Linked DNA regions of Alligator mississippiensis. The protein of the gene in region 1 interacts with the protein of each later gene in a pairwise test. Links are inferred from orthologs where the notes say so. Each region holds a gene or a part of one and is shown on either strand. Other genes may lie near its edges.

The links.
Region 2: the proteins of AP4B1 (region 1) and ZNF576 interact in binary tests that used the Homo sapiens proteins (3 or more experiments, as listed by UniProt). The two-hybrid records come from large-scale screens. The link is inferred for Alligator mississippiensis from reciprocal best matches to the Homo sapiens genes AP4B1 and ZNF576.

The regions. Positions count from the first base shown.
Region 1 is NC_081837.1:45,362,557-45,372,680, reverse strand, and holds the start of AP4B1 (AP-4 complex subunit beta-1), read right to left. Parts: upstream 4,895-10,124; 5' UTR 4,806-4,894; coding exon 4,693-4,805; intron 4,603-4,692; coding exon 4,378-4,602; intron 3,854-4,377; coding exon 3,723-3,853; intron 2,888-3,722; coding exon 2,740-2,887; intron 1,902-2,739; coding exon 1,405-1,901; intron 702-1,404; coding exon 618-701; intron 1-617. Other genes in the region: DCLRE1B (5' exonuclease Apollo), read left to right, coding at 5,084-5,272, 5,355-5,520, 6,369-6,551, 7,077-8,326.
Region 2 is NC_081838.1:30,899,235-30,909,357, forward strand, and holds ZNF576 (zinc finger protein 576), read right to left. Parts: upstream 4,086-10,123; 5' UTR 3,919-4,085; exon of another isoform or gene 3,793-3,918; 5' UTR 3,717-3,792; coding exon 3,670-3,716; intron 2,906-3,669; coding exon 2,754-2,905; intron 2,679-2,753; coding exon 2,161-2,678; 3' UTR 1,745-2,160; downstream 1-1,744. Other genes in the region: zinc finger protein 48, read left to right, coding at 1-433; uncharacterized protein LOC109283767, read right to left, coding at 4,783-5,818, 5,988-6,676; interferon-inducible GTPase 5, read left to right, coding at 8,293-8,873, 9,137-10,123. UniProt on the Homo sapiens protein: May be involved in transcriptional regulation.

The DNA.
Region 1 (10,124 bases):
TCAGCATCTCCCAGCAGATCAAACATCAGCAAGAAACCAAACCCCTGGGAGGCTGGGGTGGAGGAAGCCACCCCACCACTCCCTCTGGGGAAGTGGTGCACTTTTCTTTAAAGCCTGGTGGCACAGGCTCTGCCATGTCAAGACCCAGAATACAGAGGGCTGCAGTGCTGGCATTTGCTGAGGCATCTGATGAAGTAAGGTCAGGCTCAGAGGGCTTATGCTATCTCTAAGAGCTGAGACCAGAAGGGCCAACGAGAGCATGTCAAGGTCATGTTGACAAAAACTTCTGACCTTTCTAAAATGCCTCTTTGCATCTGCTCTCTGTCCGAGTCAGCAGGGGATGGCCCAAAGGCTTAGTCCACATCGCACCATGGGAGCAGCCATGACCTGTCCCCGTGACTCTCAAGGCACCTATCTAAGAAGGGAGAAGTTATGAAGCCATCCCTGCCTCCACCCTTTGAACAAGGAAATCTCTAGGGACACCTATTCTGTTCGAAACCTCAGCAAGCTGTGGCCAGCAGGACGGGGCTTTCCCAAACCCCAGCATAGAGTTGGAGCCATTTCCTGAAGGTGGGGGGCTGGCAATCCCCTTGACGCAACCAGCAGCCAGGAGTTACCTGAAGTGATGTGCTCCTGCTTGAGGCCCAGCAGCTCCGTCAGAATCCCCACGCACTGTTCTGTGTACGTCCTGGCAATGCTGCCTGAAAGAGCGCCACAGGGAACAAGCCAAGTTCTGGTCAGAGACATAGACCCCGGTGTTCAGGCTACAAGCTTCCTCTCAAGCAAAACACTTGGATCTGAATATACTTGTGCCTGACATTAGTCAGCAGGCTCTAGTCCTCACTTGGGCTAAAAAAAAAAAAAGCTCTTGGGAAAACCCTGCACTTCTGTCCAAAACAGCTGAGAGAAAAGACAGGGATGGAAAAGGGAAGCTTATCCTTTGTTGTAACGAAGGCATTTTACCTTAAAACCTTCAAACGCAAAAACAGGGTCCCTGCAAACCCCCCTTACCTCTGTCCCCACAGCACCACCCAGAAGACAACCAGACAGTGAAAGAGAAGCCCACAAGGCCACCACGCCAACTGACTGGGAATGAAGTAGTTTGTGGTTGCCAATACAATCCATCGCCACGCACCTTCAGCACCCAGCTTCCCAGGGTGGGAAAAGGCACGCAGGCATTCCAGGGGCGCCCCCGGTTCAGAAAGGCTCCACACAGCCTGTGCTGAGGACCATGCCCATGTTTCTGGGAGATCTGGCTCGTTCTGGGTTCGGTGCTGGGACACAGCTCCAGCACACAGCACTCATTTGCTGCTGGCCCAGGCTCACCTCAGCTACAGGCGACCCATCTTTCTGAGAGACTTGAGCAAGGTCTCAGCTGCTCCAGAGACAAGAGAGGACTCTTACCTATGGCAAAGATGGCCCCTTGGGCAAGTTCAACAGACACATCAGTGCAGTAGCCCTTCAGCTCCTCCAGCACCTGCTGCACGTTCTCATCGTTCACCAGTTCACACAACACCTCCATCTTCTGGCATTTGATATAGTGGGGCTCTGAGTAGGAACAGAAGAACTTCTTGTAATGGCTGCTGAAGTGGCCAGGGAGGCTTCCGAGAATCTGCCGCACGTGGCACAGGGCGGTGAAGCAGAGCTCCCGGCTCTCAGAAGTGCAGGCAGCCAATAGCGGCCCCTTCACCCTCACCAACACGTCCGTCTGCACGTGTGGGTACTCGCTGGCCAGCACCAGGAAGAGCTTGGTGGCTGCCATCACAACGCTGGGACTGCTGCTCTTGAGATACCCATCCAGCAAGTTGAGGATGTTGAAGAGCTCCTCATCGCTCCGGGGCGTGTAGCGCAGAAGAAAGGCCAGCACCTCGCTCTGCCCCCACTGGTCTAGGTCAGCCATTCTGCCAAGGAAAGAGCACAGTAAACAGTCTGTGGCAGATGAGGGCAGCACAAAATCATGTGAAGTCATACAGTGAAATGAGGGTCACCCCAGGACAGCTCAGGGGCTGCAACTGCTGCTTCTGCGATGGTTTCAGTTCAAGGTCAGGTGCCAGAATTGCAGAAGAAGATGCTAAGTTTGTCTCTCAAAAGGAGCTAACTAACTTACACAGGTCGCAGATGAACTCCCCCCCTCCCTGTTTATTTGTTCCTTCCCCCAGGCAATGTGCCAGAAAGAAACCTTGATGGGGTCCCAGGGCAGCACAACAGGGAAGAAATGCCACTCTCTCTTTCCACTGCTAGTTTTGCAACTAGGACTTCAGGCCTGAGGGCCTGTGTGAGGAGAAGCTAATTCCTCCAGGCAGTGGATATGACTTCCACCACTTTACACGCACGGGGATGTAAATGTGACGGACAGGTTAGGATGCAGGAGGTCTCAGAGATGCAGCCTGTGTGCTGTCAAGGAAGACAGAAGCTTCCTATAAAAAAATGCTGCTCTCTAGTACGATTTATAACGACCAACAGCTGGTCACAAATTTGTCCTGGACTTGGCAGCCAAAGGTTCCCTGTGTCACTAGCATGGCAGGGCATGGTCTCATATTTCACGTGTGATCTTAGCTTCAGCTTACCCTGGTCCCTTCTAGAATGGGCACCTATGTGCTTCTGCTCCCAGCTATCTCCCACGCTGAACCTCCCCGAGCTGACAGGAACAGGGTGCACCTGTTCTCTGATGTAGCAAACGCAAGACAATCCCACTACGGCGAGACTCCCAGCTTTGCACAAGTCTGAGGGAGAACAAACCTGTTGAGGAGGTGATGGGCGATGGGCTTATTGATGACGACTCCTCCCTCCTGCCTCAGAATCTCCTCCAGAGCCCGCAGGCAGTTCACCACTACGATGGGATCTGGGTCACGAAGCAAACTGTACAGCTCGTTCACCAGCGCACCATCTGCAAAGAAGCCACGGTGAGGACGGCACAGACCTGACCGCTGGGTCCGTTGGGGTGATTTAGCCACAGCCCACAAACAGAAGGGCCATAACAAATGGCTTGGGAATGGAGAATAACAACATCTGCAACCCCATCTGGCTTTCTAGTAGCATCTATGTATGACACAGCCTCGCCCTACCGAGCCCACCATCACGCGGATCACAGAGCCCATCAGGTGCCAGAGGCTGCAGCTCAGATGTAACACAAAGAACGGCAGAGGAGAAGAGCTCCAGGCTAGTAAAGACAAAAAACATGAAAGGACCGTTCCTTCAGGAAACTCGCTCTGCCAGCCTGAGCTGCAGGAAAGGCCCGAGAAGAAAAGCCTTTTAAGAATCTGCCTTTGGTTCACAGATAGCTTGTCTGTCCTGCCTGGGATCTAAGGTCAAAACACAGGCCAGACGGGAGGCCCTGACTCCTTGTCTGAAGTATGGGAACAGGCTGCACGTTCCTGAAGGACTAAGTGCCGCTCTCCCTGCCCAGCACATGCGACGATCATGCATCACCGCGAGCACTCGAGCGAGGCTGACAGCTTCACAAGAGCGGTAAGAGCTTCCTACTTGCGTGGGTGTTTACCAAACAAAGCTGGACCCCGGTGTTGTCTAGGAACTGTTTTAGCTCCACAGTCTAGCTCCCTTTCAAGTTGTTTTGCTCTCTTACGACTCTCCCAGGTTTAGGTTATTTTGTCACGCAATCTAAGCTGTTGGGGCCTTTGTCGGAAAAAGACAACGCAGCCAGGAATAAACACGTAACAAACGGGGAGTTGAAACAAGCCAACAGGGAAACCCTCCAGGCTTACCCACTTCGGAGTCCCCTTGGAGGCTCTGCATCTTCGCGCAGCCGAGAACCGCTACCCTGCGCACGTAGGACGCTTTGTCCCGCAGGCCGTTCAGAAGGGGCTGCCGGATGTACTCCTGTATGCCGGGCACCCTGGGGACCAACGCACAAGGCACGGTGGGGCTCACCCTGGATCCCACGAGCTGCTCCGGGGCACATGAGCCTGCTTGCACGGCAGGGCCCGGGCTGCTCTCAGGGAGCCAAGCAGAGGACACCCCACCCCTGCAGCTCATGGCACCCGTCACAGGGGCTCTGGCCCGGGGCCGGCCTTGCATCGCCCAGCCCCGCGCGCCCGCCCACCCGCCCTCCGCCTTGAGCAGCCACACGCGCAGAGAGCGCCCACCCCTGCACACAGGTGCTGCGTTACCTGGGGGCACACGCGGACACACACACGTGCGCTCGGGGACACGCGTGAACATGTGCACGCCCGGGACAGGCAGGAGCATATGCACTCACCCACGCGCGCTCAAGGACACGTATGAAATGCACACACCTGAGGCACATACCCACGCACACTCAAGGACACGCATGAACATGCGCATGGACAAGCACTCACACACACCTGCGGGCAAGCGTGAACACGCACACGCGGCGGTGGGGAGGATGAGCACACGCACCTGAGCGCGCAGAGCCCGCGCAGCGCCAGCCCGCGCAGCAGGGGGCTGGGGTGCGCGCAGTCGGTGCGCAGCGTGTTGACGGCCAGCAGCGCGAGCTCGGGCTGCCCCCGCGCGTGGGCGCCCACGTACAGCTGCGCCAGACGCTTCTGCGCCGGGTCCGGGGCCGCGCGGGCGCGCAGCAGCTCCGGGAACAGCGGCGACACGTCCGCGCCGCGCGCCATCAGCCTGCGGGACACGGGGGGGGGGGGGTCAGCTCGCAGCGCCCCGCACCCGGGCCGGCCCCGCGCCGCGCCGCGCCTCCCCGCCTCGCCTCACCGCACGGCGCGCAGCACTGCGCCGCGGTAGCGCAGCCGGTCCGCCTGCACGTGCGGGTTGGCCAGCACCCGCTTCAGCTCGCGCACCGCCTCGTCCGAGCCCAGGTACGGCATCGCGCCGTCGTTCCGCTCCAGAGTGAACGACCCGGCGCCGCCCCCTCCGGCTCAGCCGCCACCGCCACACTGCGCAGGCGCGTCCCCTCCCGCGCAGGCGCACTACGCCCGGCGCCGCCCCGCTCCTCTCAGCGGCCTGCGCCTGCGCCACGCAGCCTTGGCCGGAAGCTGAGCGCGGCCCCTCCCTGCGCCTGCCCGCCGCGCATGCGCTGCGCGGCCTTGGCGGGAAGCGGAAGCGGAAGCGGGGGCGGACAGGCACGTGGCGCGGCTTGACAGCCATGAGTGGGACGCTGCTGGACGAGCCGCCCGTGGCCGTGGACCTATGGGGCCGCCGCAGGACGCGCGGCGCCCGCCTCTTCTTCCTCACGCACCTGCACGCGGACCACACGGCCGGGCTGACCCGCAATTGGCGCCGCCCGCTGTTCTGCTCCCCTCTCACGGGCCACCTGCTGCGCCTTCGCCTGCAGGTACCGCCCGGCCCATCCCCCACCCCCGGCCCGGCCCGGCCTTCATCGGCCCGGCCTTCCTTCCCTCCCTCCTTCCCCCCAGGTGGACGCGTGCTGGATCCGGCCGCTGGAGGTGGGGCAGAGCCATGTCGTGATCCTGGACGAGCGGGCCCAGCGCACCATGACGGTGACGCCCATCGACGCCGACCACTGCCCCGGCTCCGTCATGTTCCTCTTTGAGGGGGACTTCGGGGTCGTGCTCTACACAGGTACCGGGTCTGGGGTCTCGGGGCGGCCCAGCCTCTCCCTCGCACCCAGTGCCGAGGGCCTGTGAGACGGCAGGGAGTATCGCCGCACCCCTTCACACGTCCCCCGCGGGAGATGGGAGAACTGGGGCGGGGCGGCGAGCGGAGGAGTGGCCGGGGGCCTTTCTCATGAGGAGACGGTCAAGGCTCAGTGCAGGGAAGAGATGCTGGAGGGGGCAGGAGAAAGGTTTATGATGCAGAAAACGGCAACGAGAAAGTCCACAGGGGTTGGTCATCGACTCTCCCCACGAGGAGGGGCTGCCATGTGAAACATGCCCGTCATCCGTTTAAAGCCAACCCCGAGAAGCTCCTTCTCACGCAGCGTGTTGTGAAAGGCCAGGTGTGGTCTGACGAGGAGGCTGCGCTCCTCAGTCACCTGCTCAATGGCCGCTGAGGCCCCTTTCCTCCAAGGTGTCCAGTCCCTTTGCGAACCTGGCTGCACGGTCAGCTTTCACCACACCCGGCAGCCACGAGTCCCGTTCCCCCCACCCCCTTAATGACACTTCCTGCCTTCACTGCCTGCTCCAGGCCTGCACCTTTGGCAGTGGCTGCTAGGGCTGACACTGCTGTCCCTTGTAGAAATGTGAGTCGCTCACCAGGAGTTCAGCCCACATCACTTCCGTGATGTCCTAGAAAAAAGCACCCAAGCAGTCGGGCTCCTACTGCTTCCGTGTCCTGGAAGCTGGGGACCTCCCCTGAGTTTCGGAGCCTGCAACGTGGAGCAGTAACCGCTAGGTGGGCCCCGTTGCTCCCGGTGTCCCCAGATCCTGTGTTTCTGCCTTGCAAACTGGTGCTGCTTTGCTTCTTGCCAGGTGATTTTCGCTACACTCCGGCAATGCTGAAGGAACCAGTCCTAATGAACCAAAAACAAATTGACGTTCTTTACTTGGACAACACATACTGTGACCCGGCGCTGGTCCTGCCTTCCAGGGAGCAGGCCACCGAACAAATAAAAGAGCTGATCAAGGCCCACCCTAAGTACCACGTCAAGATTGGTGAGCCAGACTTCTTGGTAGCTTGGCATATGGCAGGGTGTGAACTGCAGCCAGTGCCCCAATTGGAGTTGTGGTGAATGCCTAACCAGGACCGGATGATACTGTGCGAGGGGTGGCTGGGTTGTGCCCTTTGCTGTGTCTGGCTTGTGCATTCATTGGCCTGGATGATGCAAACGATGTGTATTTCTGCTAATCAGAGTGCAGATTTGAGTCTGCTTCACTTCTGGTGTCTGAAGTGCTGCAGGTGTGAGGCTGTGGAATAATCTTGAGGTTTTTGGAGGGCGCAGAGAGCAATTGTTTTTCTTCCTCTTCGTACAAAGTACGCGTCAGTTCTTCAGGGCATTGCTTGTGTTGTCTTATGTGCTGTCTCTCTCTAATTTCCCCTTGTGGGTAGGCACCTTTCTCTGGAGTCTTACAGCTATTTTCTCCCTGCCCTGGTCACCTTCCCCAGGCACTGTCTTTGCCTTGACAAAATACTTCTGAGTCTCTAAAAGTTGCTAAGCTGTTCTGTTTTTTCTTTGCCAGGTATCTACACTCTGGGGAAGGAGTCACTCCTAACTGAGTTGTCCCTGACGTTTAACACCTGGATCGTGGTGAGCCCCGAGAGGCTGGCTGTGTTGGAGCTGTTGGATAAGCACCATCCGTTCACCACTTGGGAAGATTCTGGCTGGATCCATGTGGTGGAGCCCTCGGAAATCCGCTGGAAGTCTGTGCGCTACTGGAACCAGCAGCACCCCACGATTGCCATTCTCCCCACTGGGCGCCCGCTGAAGAAAACCCATCCCAATATGCACATCATTCCCTATTCTGACCACTCGTCCTTCTCGGAGCTGTGTGAATTTGTCCAGTGGCTGAAACCCTGCTCAGTCATCCCGATAGTCAAGAGCATGGCGTGTCAAGCTTACTTGGAGAAGTACCTGAACCCTAACCGTGAGCTGTTTCCTGTCCCCAGCGTCCTACAGTCTTGGAAGGATGTCACACCACTGACAGATAGCAGGAGAGAGGAAAGGCTTAGGCAGCTGCTGAAAATTACCATACCTGCACGGCAACCTGGGCCGCTAGGGGTCATCTTCGAGTCCCTAGAGGAATGCCCTGACACGTCCAAGAGCTCAGGAGCTGTGCAGAGTCACGAGTTGAAGACCTCTGGGGATGTGGAAGTTTACCAGCAAAATTCTGAGGAAATTGAGTGGGCTGGTACAAGTTGTCAGGGAGACTGCGTTTGCTGCCCTTGGTGTTGCACGGAAAGAAAGGAAATGGAAAAGACTTGCAGCAGTGACGGTGCCCAGGGACAGCTTCTCTCAGCACAGTCTCCTTCATCAGCACCTGCCAAAGAACAGCTGGTAAGACCACTGGGCACCAGTGTTGAAGAAGGGAAATCAGGCTTAGTAGAGTCACATGGGAGTCCTTTATCCAAGAACACTGAGACTGAGGGGACTTGGTTGAACAAGGAGCCTGACACTCCTTTGTGCCATGTTATCCCATGCCCACCTAGGTGGGTATACTATGCCCCTTTACAGTTTGTACCTGCTCAGAAGGCAGATACTCCCTCTTGCAAGCAGAGTTCACCCTCCTCAAAGGGAGAGGAATTTCTTCCCGTAGAGGCGGCTGGTGACAGTAGCAGCCTGCCCAGCTTGTCACCTGTGTCGAGCGAACAAGTTACACCTAGCCTTGCAGAAGGGTGTTCGCTCGTGCCGTTAAATACACTCGAGCAATATTCCTCACAGAGCTTTGACCAACTGGTGGAAAACTACTTGAGGAAGGGAGAAGGGCCCTAAGAAATGGCCTGCCCGTCAGCACCAGCTGTCTAGTTATGTCACATGGCACACAAGAGTCCTGTCATCATGTCTGCCTTCTGCAGTCTGCTGACGGGGTGGCTTTTGAACGTTTTGTTTTGTTTAGGAGGGTAAGGGGCATTGAGCAGCAGCCTAGATACCTTGTTTATGAATGTGTTTATCTTGTGGTTATTGGCCTCGGTATTTGGGGGTAGATTCTAAGTAATGGGCTGTGACCCTGTGCGTTTCCCAGGGCTCTAGACTGGCACTCAGACTAGCACGCTTGATTACAGGAACATGTTCTGTACTTGTTGCACCTTCCATGCAAACCTGATGTCATTTCAGGGCAGAGGGGGTTGGAATAGCCCCTACCCATTCTCAAATGAGCAGTAGGGGGACATGAGCTATCCAGGACAGACCCTGGTATCAGGGTTTCTGTGGGATGAGGGAAAGAGTCTCCTGAGTAAAAGCAAACTGAGATGGGGGTGTAAGTCCCAGATCATTATCTTGCTGCTGGTTTGAATTTCTAGCTGCTAGCCAACATCCTTCCAAGATGTATTGGGGGGAGTTTGTGTGTTAGCCTGTTTACAAGGTTAAGAAGTTAATTTAAAGAAATAATGAAAATGAAGAGCTTTCAGGCCTCTGTGCGATCATGGAGAAAACCGTGTCAGAAAACACTAGTGTGGCAAGCTGCTTCAGCTGGCCACCGAGTAGTACTTCTGCCCTCCTGCTGACAGCATGCTGATGCCAGCTGTAAATCCTTCCTTCTGGGATAGCAGGAATTCTGTGACTTGCAAAGGGCAAGGCTTCCCGTGTCCTGTTCTCTGGAATCTGTGCTTATTTCTAGGCTGTTGTTCCTTGTTCCTTGGCTGTAAAAAGCCTCCAACTCAGGAACAGTCAGGCATTATCATCTAGCCAGGCCACAGCCATAGGACCTGAGGGGTGTGAATTCCAGGCCCCTTGACAGGGTTAATGTAAGCCAGGGAACCTGTTTCTCCTTAATTGCCATTTGCGTTGGCTGTTTCCCCAATGGAGGCGAGCAGACACCAAAAAGATCATTTGGTGGCTGTTATTTTTCTGTTAAGATGGATCATGCTTAAAGGTATTGCCCACTCTCTGGTTTGATGGTGAGGCTAATTAGGTCTCGTACTTCCCTTGACATGGGATTTGGGGAGATGCATTCACCTGAGCTTAAGGTGATCCCATTTCTGTTGCCTTAACTTGGACCTGCACAAAATTTGGCCTGCTGCTGTGTTGGGGTCATGGGAGAGGGGTGGGAAATGTTGAAGTTCTGTGGGGGGGTCTTAGTCCAAACAGGTTAGGGGTCAGTTCCAGGCTCTCCTGTGGGGAAGAGAGCATTACCCCTATCCCACACTGGGCTTAGTTTAAGTCCAGTTGTTCGCAAGTCTTTGTATAATCATGGGTACAAGTAAAATGACAGTCTTCCCAAGTGGAAAATGACTGTGTTGTGAGAGGCTGTCGGGGCACGGATGCACGCAGCTGAGTTCTGAGGCACAAGAAGCCAGATCACTTCAGCCCGTAGTTCTGTTTGGTTGGCTGTTGACATGCACAAGGAGGCTGTAGCCTAGATGCTCCCTCCTTAATGGCCATAAATGCCTCACTTGAATTTTTATTTGCCTTCTGAAAGTGTTGTTGGTACAAAACTTAATAAAGTTTGTTCTGTTCACAAAGCAAGTTCTGCGTTCCCATGCTTCTCTTCTAACCAAAAGTCTCTCAGATAACCTTTGACTGTGATGGAACGAAGAGGCACGCTCCTTTTCTTTGCACTGGAGAGAAAAAG
Region 2 (10,123 bases), on another chromosome or scaffold:
GCGCAAGCGGCCGCACGGCACCGCCCCCTCACCGAAGCCCCCTGGTGTGGCACGGCCGGCACCCCCTCTTCCCTCGCTCAGTGATGCCGACACCCGCCCAGCCCCGCGCCCTGGCGCCTTCCACTACATCTGCGCCGAGTGTGGCCTGGGCTTTGCCTCCCCGGCGTCGCTTGAGGCCCACCGCTGTGAGCACGGCTGGCGCCGCAGCCCTCCTGCCCCACCCCTGCCCCCCTCCCTGGCTCCCCGCAGCGCCAAGGCCCCCCCACCACCACTGCCCCCCCGCCAGGCGAACGGGGCCCCCCCGCCCCCACCCCCGCCCCCGGAGCCTGAGGGGGCTGATGGACCATACCAGTGCACCGAGTGCCCAGGAGAGTTTGGCCTGGTCTCCGACCTGCACGAGCACTACATGCTGCACGCCCGTGGAGAGCTGTAGCCCTGTCTCCTGCTGCTGGCACTTCCCTTTCCATTGAACCCACCCCCACTGTGCACCCTTCGACAGTGCTGGGGGGCCCCCTGTGGAGGGGGGTTGAGACCAGAGCCAGCTCGGGTCACAGGTGGGGGCAGGAGAGAAGGCCTCTCCCTCCCCAATTTCCTATAGTCCAGGGAAAGGGGAGGGGGGGGTCCCTCCAGGTGGCGGGGGATGTCAGCCCCGTCATGAATATGAACGAGCTCATTAAGCTGCTGGGGTTGAGGGGGAGGGGGCGGGGGGAGGAAGTTGTTTAATAAAAGTCCTTGCATATGAGCCAATGGGGCATCTCTCTCGCGCCGACAGAAGGGAATTGTGGGTCATGGCTGGTGGGTGGGGTTCTAGTCCTGTGGTCGTCCCCCCACCTGCAAATCAACACACTGTGACTTGCTAGCTTGTTACAGGGAGATGATGTTGTAGTGGTGACTGTGAAGTCACACCAATGATGTCATGGGCTGCTCATGTTACCTCCCCTAACCTTGCTTTGGTGGGGGGGGGGCTGTGGCTGGTGACCTCAGGGGCAGTACTGCTGTGGGAAACCCTCTAGAGCAAGAACTATAAGCCCTGGAATGCACTGGGGCAGCCCCCAGAACCATAGCTTCCAGCATGTAGTATGGTAGCCCCTGCTGAACTACAGTTCCCAGCATGCACTAGGGCAACCCCCCCAGAATATAGCTCCCAGCATGGTCTAGGGCAGCCCCCAGAACTACAGCTCCCGGGATGCATTATGAGACGGTATTTTCCTCTTAGGACTACAGCTCCCAGCATACACTGTGGCAGGGTACTCCTCTGACTTGGCTTTCCCTCCCTACTGGGTTAAAAACTACACCTCCCATCATGCCGCTGGGCAAGGGGGGGCAGGGCCTCACTCCCACAGCAGCATACTGCCCACTGCTGGCTGTCCTGCTCTGCCTGGCCTCTGGCTCAGGTTCAGGTCCTATTGCCCCTAGGGAATACCCCCCCTCCCCCCAGCTGTAGCACTGTTGGCCATGAATTTCACAGCACCACACCAGGACCAGTAGAGAAGAGTGGGGCTCCATGCCCACCACCCCCCTCCAATTCCAGTGCTCATGGGTTTGCAGGGACAGGAGCAGGGTTTACACCAAGAAAGTCTCTGGGGCTGGGACTGACATCTCTCCCCACCCAGTCCCACGGTGCCGGCAGAGGCATGCGGACACAACTCCCAGCTGCCAACTAGGAACCTCCCTAGACCCCAGCATAGCATTGGGGTGACCTCCAGTGCAAACTCCAGGCAGGCAGGAGACAATGACACCTGCAGCCACGGATCATCTTTATTCTTTTTCTCCATATGAAAAATAAGAACCTTTCACTCCTGCCAAAGCTGCGGGGGCTGCAGGTTGTCAACCCCCCCAACTTCCCAGGGACCCTCCCCTGTGGGGGGATATGCTCCCCTACCTGCCCCTGACACGTGTTGCTCTGAGACCATCTGAAACCCCAGAACTGGGGAGGGGTCTGGCCATATAAATAGCACCCAAGGCTCAGACATGGAGGGGGCCAGGGAACGGGGAGGTCTCCCCCATGTCTCCCATGTGCCCCAACAGACATCTGCAAAGTCCCAGCCCCCACTCCTAAGGGAAACCCCCCTACTTTCTCCCTTCCTGTCCCCCCTCCCTGAGGACAGCAGCTGTACAGAGAGGACCCCCCCTTCTCTTTCCGGCCAGCAGGGGTGGGGGCTAGAGCTCGCCACGTGCATGGCGGATGTAGTGTTCATGAAGGCCAGCCTCGTGGGCGAAGCTCTGGCCACACTCTGTGCAGGCGTAGGCTCGGGTAGGCAGCAGCTCCAGCGGGCGCTGGTGTGAGGCCTGGTGGCGCCGGAGGTTCGAGAGCTGCCGGAAGCTCTTGCCACAGTCGGGGCAGGGGTGGGGGAGGCCGCGGGGGGTAGGGGTGGCGGTAGTGGGGCCTAGGCGTGGGCGCAGCGCGGGGCCCAAGCGGCGCCCGCAGTCAGGGCACTGGTGGGCCAGGCGGTGGCAGGAAGGGCAGGGAGCCGGGGGGGGCGCGTGGCCGCGCTGGTGCCCGATGAGGGCACGGGAGCTGTCGAAGGCCCGGCCGCAGATGAAGCAGACGAAGACGGTGCCACGCAGGTTTTCCTGCACGAAGTCCTCAGGGTGCTCCCGCTTCATGTGCCGCTCCTTGAACTTCTCATCCGGGAAGGTGATGAAGCAGTGGAAGCACTGGTTGGAGCCCAGACCATCTAGGGAGGGGGGCAGGGGGTCAGGGCGCGGGACCCCCCCCCGTCCCCCTCCCCCCGGGCTCCCGCAGTACTCACAGAGCGACGAGGCCACCGAGGCTTTGGGTTCATCCTCCTCCTCCTCCGCGCAGGCGGGGCCGGGCGGCGGGGTACGGACCGGGGAGCGCTCCCGTGGGGCCAATGGAACGGCTCCACATGGCGATGCTGAGCCCACATCAGACATGGCCGTGCTTGCAGGGAGGGGGCACAGATGCAGTGAAGTGAGCGGGGGGGGGGGGGGGGGGGTCAGCAGGATGGAGGCTACCCCCTGCCCTCCTCACAGTGGGGGGGTCCCCGCTCCTCCCCCATTGCTCCCCTCCCTGTGGACCCTGCCCAACCTGCCAACCATCCCCCTGACAAGGAGCCAAATTCCTCCCCACCCTATAGCCCCCCCAACCTTGCCCTGTGTTCCAACCCCCTCAGGGAGCTTCCCCATTTGCCCAACCCCATTAAAAACCCCCAAGACCAATCCCCCACCAAGGAGCACCATCTTTCCTCACCCCATGCCCCCCCAACCTCCCTCCCTTGAGAGCTCCCACATTCCTCCCCACCTCATAGACCCCCCAGCCTGTCCCAAACTCCACCCCCCCAGGGATCTCCCCCCACCCCATGCCCCGCTAACCTGCCCCATGCTGCCCACCCCACCCCATGGACCCCCACCTACCAACCCCCCACAGGAAGCTCCATCTGCCCCCCCAACCTACCCCAAGATAGGAGCGGGGATCCTCCACCCCGCACTCCCCTGCCCCCACAAGGAGCCTCCTCCCCCTAGCCGCTCCTTTCCCCACAACCCCCCACCCTCCATTGACCCCCCCATCTCCCAGTGCCCCCCAGAACCCTCTTCCCCCTCCCCAATAACAAAGGGGTCCCCTGACTCCACCATGTACCCGCTCCCTCTCCCCCGCGGCGCCCTCCTCCCATGTGACCCGTAGACCGAGCCCCCCATATATCTCACCTCTCTCCTCTCCTCTCTCTCCCTGCTTTCCCCTCCCCCGTTTTCATCTCTTACTTCCTGTTTCCGGTGCCTGCCCCAGCCAGAATCCCGCCCTATTTCCGGCGGGGCTGCCCAAACCAGCCCCTGAGCGGAAAAGAAAATCAGTCATCCCGGTTCTAGAGGCTCTGCGGCCTCTGGCCGGTCCCGCCGGCTTTGTCCCAGCGCAGGGGTCCCTCCCGGTGCTGTGAGTGAGTTGGCTGCGCCCCTCACGCGTGGAAACGTCGCCGCTCCTAATCAGGCACCTCTGTGGCTACCTCACAGACGTGGAGTGGCCACTGGGCAGCCCTTTACCGCAGGCTGCATCCAGTAACGCGTGCGCACAACTAGACAGACGCTGCACCTGACTAGAGGCGAGGATTGTGCGCACGCGCCGCAGGCTGCCAGTAATGGCGGACTCCAGACAGGATCGTACGCGTGCGCCCTGGCGCTGCCCTGGTTCCCAGCGCATGCGCGATGCAGCCTCAGTCTTGCTAGCTGGTCTCAGGCCGCCTGCAGGGGGTGCCACGTGCCCCACCACCGTGATCCCAGGTTGCACCGCGGTGGCTGTCTCCTAGTTGCCTTTGAGTGTGGCCCCTTGGGGCAGGGAGACCCCAGATCCCCATTATACACTGGGCACAGAGCCCCCAGCTTCCCTTCTTTCCAAGCATACGCTGGGGCACAGACCTTCCTCCCACCCAGTTCAAGTTTCCATGCACTGGGGTGCAAAGAGTGCTGTCCCACAATGCACTGCAACCACCTGCCGCATCCAAGGGACCACGAAATGAGGTGGCAGCCACAAGTGGAAGCAAAACATTTATTTCAACAGACAGAAGCAGCTCTGGGGCTCTGCAGAGGCCACAGGCAGGGGCCACAGGGGGGCACATGCAGCAGACCCCCACGGCCCATAGGCAGGACACAGACACGTGTGGGTGCAAGACCCTGGGACGGGATCGGCGTGACCCCTGAGACATAAAGGAACGCTGTTGTGTTGTTGGACGAGGGGAACCACCCCAGAGCCAGCAGCATCCTAGGCCCTGTTACACCCAGCCCTGATGCCCACCCCAGAGCCAGCTGCATCCGACCTGGGTCCTGCCCCTACCCCAGGGTGCAGGCCCGCAGCAGCACACGCTCAGCATCAAGGGCCATCTCGACTGCCGCCTGGCTCAGCAGGTGGTAGGCTGCCTCCAGTGTCACCTGGGGCTGGGGCACGGACGGGCTGCCCCAGAAGGGCACATAGCTCCAGAGCCGGGCAGCCAGGGACGGTGATGGTGCCATAGCCTCCAGCACCATGCTGGGCTGCACCATCTGTGCCCAGGGGCACCTGATCTGGGCCTGCAGTTCCCGGAGCTCCAGCTTGGCAGCCATAGCCATACGAGTGAGGGAGGCCTCATCCAGCCCGAAGGTGGCTGCGCTGGCCTGGAGGGCTGTAGCCAGGCCATGCCCAGCATCCTCCATGGGGCGCAGGCAGACATGTAGTGCCTGGCGCCAGGCCTCAGCCAGCACCTGGCGCCGCTCCCTGCGCACCAGGCGCCCAATAATGACTGGCAGTGCTGCTCGCTGAAGCCCTGCAGCCTCCTCGGCCAGTGCCTGCCGCAGCCGGCCCAGCTCAAAAGCCTGGGGCTCATGGGAGGACAACAGGAATACGCGGGTCTCAGCTAGGCCTTCCTGCACCAGCTGCTCCCTCAGGCCCACAGAGCCGGTGGGGTCACGTAGGTCCACATCCACCTGTGTCCGGGCCATGATGAGGGCCCGGCCAGCAGCAACGGCTGCCCGGGCCAGGCGGATGAAGGGCTCGCGGTACACGTTGGAGGTCGTGAGCAACAGCAGGTCATAGCGGCTTGGGTCCACGGTGCCTGCATCCGACAGGTCCCACAGGGTGAGGCCGGGAGCACCAGGCAGCGTGTGGATGCCAGGGGCATTGCCGCACAGTGCAGCGATGAGGGAGGTATGGCCTGAGCCGGGCTCACCCACCACGGCCACATCCACGGGCAGCTGGGAGGCATCAGCCAGTGCAGCGCGGAGCAGGCCAGGGGCCTCGGCCAGGCTGCCCCCAGCGCAGACCTCAGTCAGTGCCCGCAGCGTCCGCTCCCGCACAGCTGGCAGCTCCTCCAGCAGGTCCCCAGGGTCAAGCCTGCAGCGGGAGGGAGGCAGGGGCTAGGACCCAGGCATCTGGGTTCCCAGGTCCCACTGCTTTCACCCACCAGAGCCTACTCCTCCATTTGGAGAACCCAGGTGTCCAGGCCCCCAGCCCCCACTGCTCCCCCCTCAGAAAACCCAGGCATTCAGCCCCGGTCACTCACATGGGCAGCTGCAGCACCTCACGCACCAGCGCATCCTCGAGCCAGGCAAAGTCGAAGCGGTCAGGCTCCAGTGTGGACACGGCAGCAATGCCAAGGGGTTTGAGACCAGCCCGGGCCAGTGGCTCTGACACCTGGGCCCGGAGCTGGGGTAGCAGCCGGGCTATGGTGTGGCCGCGCCGCTTGGCTGTGTGCAGCGCCAGGTCAGCACCTGTCCGCACCACCAGGCAAGGCAGCGCCCGCGCCCGCGCCTGCACTGCCCGCACCATCGCCACATCATTGCCACCCGGTGGCCCCGGCAGCACCAGCACCAGGCAGGCAAAGGGTGCCAGGCCCAGCAGCTGCGTTACGTAGGCCTCAGGCACCTCATCGGGCCCCAGCCCAGGCAGGTCCCAGAGCACGGCGCTGGGCAGCGCAGGTGGCACGTGGGGTGTGGGCGGCACCGGAGTGAGTGGTGGTGGCTGGAAGAAGGCATGAGGGTCATGGAGCCGGGGCGGGGAGCCCAGCAGGGCCTGCACCAGGCTGGAGGTGCCGGCGCGGCAGGGGCCCAGCACTGCCACGTGCACCTGCAGCCCCTTGGCCGCCCCCTCCAGCGCCCGCAGCTGCCCCGGTGCCACCGCAGGGTCCTGGGCTGCCAGGAGGGCCTCGGTCTCGGCCAGGAAGGAGCGGGGCAGGACGGGGGGTGCCGTCATGGCAGCAGGGGCGGACACCTGGGTTCTCGGGGCTGAGCTGGAGTGCGGAGTGGGGTGGACGCCTGGGCTCCCTGGAAGGGGGGGCTGGGAGCCGGACGCCTGGGTGGGGGGGGCGGACGCCCGGGGGGGCGGGGGGCCGGGGGCCGGAGGCCTGGGCTCCCTGGAAGGGAGGTGCCTGGGGTGCCCCGGACGCCTGTGTCCTAGGGGCGGCGCTGTCCCCGGTGCTGCCGCCGTCCGTCTCCGCTTCCTTCCGCCGAGAAGCGAAACCTCCGGCACCGCCTCCGCCTCCGCCTCCGCCCGGGCCCATTAGCTGCTCGGGGCCGAGACGCGCAGCCGCGGGGCCGGGACACGGGACACGGCCGCGGGGACACACGGCCTCGGGAGCGGCCCTGGCGAAGGGTGGGCACCGCGAACCCCCCGTCCCCCGTGTCCGTGTGTCCGCCCCCCCACCTCTGCCCCTCCACCCCGGGGCCCCTCTCTCCCTCCCTCTGTCCGGCCCCAGGGGGCCCTCCGAGGCCCCGTCTCCCCATCCACTCCCTCCCTCTATCCGCACGTGGGAACCCAGGCGTCCGAGCCGCTCCCCCACCCGCCCGCATTAGGGGAATCCAAGGGTCCAAGCCCCCCCCAGTATGGGGTATCCAGGCGTCCGCGCCCCCCCACATCCTGATCTAGCCACTAGCCGCGTGTATCTCTCTCCGTCCGTCCGTCCTCCATCCACCCCCACGTCCATCTGTCCGTCCACCGACCCGGCTTCCCGTCGCCTACCCCTGCGTTGCATTCAACCAGCCACTTACCTACACCTCCATCCACCCACCCATCTGTCCGCCCATCCACCCCTCTACCTACCTACCTACCCATCCAGCCGTCCGTCCATCCATCCATCCACCCCCTATATACCTATCTGTCCATTGGTCAATCCATCCTTCTACCAGCCTACTCATGTCTGTCCATCCATCCAACCATCCCCCTCTTTATCCATCCATCTGCCTTTCCATCCATCCATCCATCCATCCCCACAAGTGTCTGTCTGTCCACCTACCTATTTGTCTATCCCTCTATCTGTTCTCCTATTCCATCCAGCCTCCTGTAGATAGACAGAGGGATGGGTGGATGGAAGGATAAGTAGGTAGGTAGGTGGGTAGACAGACAAACAGACGGAGGGAGAGATGATAGAGGAGTGCCAGGATATGTAGGCGTGTAGGTACTAGATAGATAGATAGATAGATAGATAGATAGATAGATAGATAGATAGATAGATAGATAGATAGGGGGAGGAATAAATGGGGATAGAAAGGGGGTGGATGGTTGGGCAGGTGGACAGAGGGATGGCTATGTAGATACATGAAGGGATAAAGGAGAGCATCTAATCTCTCCCTCTGTCCGTCCCTCCATCCACCTTTCTACCTACCCCCCCCACCCAACCATCCTTCTATCCATCTCTCTATCCATCCACCCATCTCTCTGTCCATCCATTCATCCCCCTGCCCCCCCCCCCCGGTGGGTGCTGGGCATTTGCAGGAACTGGCCTGCAGGTAGGGGGGCATCAGGGCCCCAATCCTGGGGGGCTGCTGCCCTGGGGTCCCCTCACCCCCACACTCTCTCCCGCAGCCCCCACCATGGCGCAGCCACCCACTGCAGATGTTGCGGAGCTGGCTGAAGTCTCAGTGCTGGTGCTGGGGGTGCCAGGCTGCGGCAAGACAGCATTGATCAATGCAGCGCGGGGACTGGCACCCACTGACCCCCATGCTGCCCCTCTGGAGGTCCCACCTGCCCCGGGGCCCCCTGAGCTGCACCCCGACCCCACGCAGCCCAGCCTGCTGCTGTGGGAGCGGGCACTGGTGCCGGGTGCCGAGGCCTGGCTGGCTGAGGCCGATGTGGTGGTGGTGGCCAGTGCCGCGCTCTTTGGGCCGCAGGAGGTGGCAGTGGCTGCAGCAGCACGGGAGGCCGGGAAGACCGTGATCTTTGTACGCACCCAGGCGGACCTGGCACTGCACACACTACGGCGCCTGCTGGGTGGTGGGTGTGAGGCCCGTGAGGCTGCACTGGGAGCCTTGCGGCAGGCCTGCACCCACGCCCTGCACAGCCTGGGGGTCCCTGCATCCCCTGCGCTCTTCCTCATCTGCAGCCTCCAGCCCCATGGCCTGGACACGCCGCAGCTGCGTGCCACCTTGCTCGACGAGGCCCAGCACTGCCAGAGGTACCTGGAAGGGCTGTTGAGGGGGGGAGGGGAGTGTCTCTGGGGTGGGGGGGGGCTTCTGCCACAGAGGCAGGGGCCGGGAAGGGGGAACAGCCCCATGTCCCATCATATTCTGTCTCCACCAGACTCCCCCAGTGTCCCACCCTCTCCAGCACCCCAGATCCCCTCATGTCCCACCCTTTTCAGCCCCTGTCCCATCCTATCCAGCCCCCCCCCAATCCCCACAGCTCCCTCCCCTGAGGCCATGCCCCCTCCCCCCACAGGCTGCTGCGCCGGGTGCTGTGTGACTTTGAGGTGATTGGGGTGCGGGAAGCGGCTGAGCTCCAAGAGGCCTTTGAACTGGGTGGGCTGGAAGCTGTGGTGGCATGGCTAGAGCGGGGGCTGGCAGCGCATTGGGCCACGCGGCTGGCCATAGCTGTGGTGGGGCCACCAGGTACCAGCACACAGCCCCTGCTCAATGTGCTGCGCGGCTTGGCTGATGATGACCCCCAGGCCGCCCCTGCTGGCACCCCAGTGCCACAGCCCACGGCCTACCCCTGCCCTGCGCAGCCCGGTGTGGTGCTCTGGGACCTGCCCACGTCCGCACCGGACACCCTTACCACCTACGACATCATCCTCATCCTTGCCACTGCGGCCTTTGGCAACAGCCACATGGAGCTGGGCCGTGTCGCGGGCAAGCATGGCTACTTCATCCGTGCTGCAGAGGTGCTGGAGGAGGAGGAGGCTGCAGCACTGCGCCAGGCGAGCCAGGAGGAGCTGGCGGCCCTGGGGCTGCCAGATGCTCTTGTCTTCGTGCTCAGCACTCGACGGCCAGAGCGCTATGACTTTGCAGCCTTATGGGAGGCACTGGTACGAGCCCTGCCGGAGGAGCAGGCCCGGGCACTGACGCTGGCCTTACCCCCACTAACACCAGCGCTGGTGGAAGCCAAACGCCGGGCACTGCATGCTGAGGCCTGGAAGGTGGCGCTGGCAGCCAGCCTGGCAGCTGCCGTGCCTGTGCCCGGGCTGGCACTGAGCTGCGATGTGCCACTGGTGCTGGATGCCCTGACCACATACCGCCATGCCCTGGGGCTGCATGCCGCTGGGCTGGCGGGGCTGGCGGCACGCAGTGGGACAACATTGTCGGTGCTGCGGGCCGCTGTGCTCAGTGCGCCAGGCCGGGGTCTGAGCCGTGAGCTGGTGCAGGGGCTGCTGGGCCGGGCAGCTGGCGGGGCACTGGGTGGGCTGGCGCTTGAGCTGCTGGTGCACCG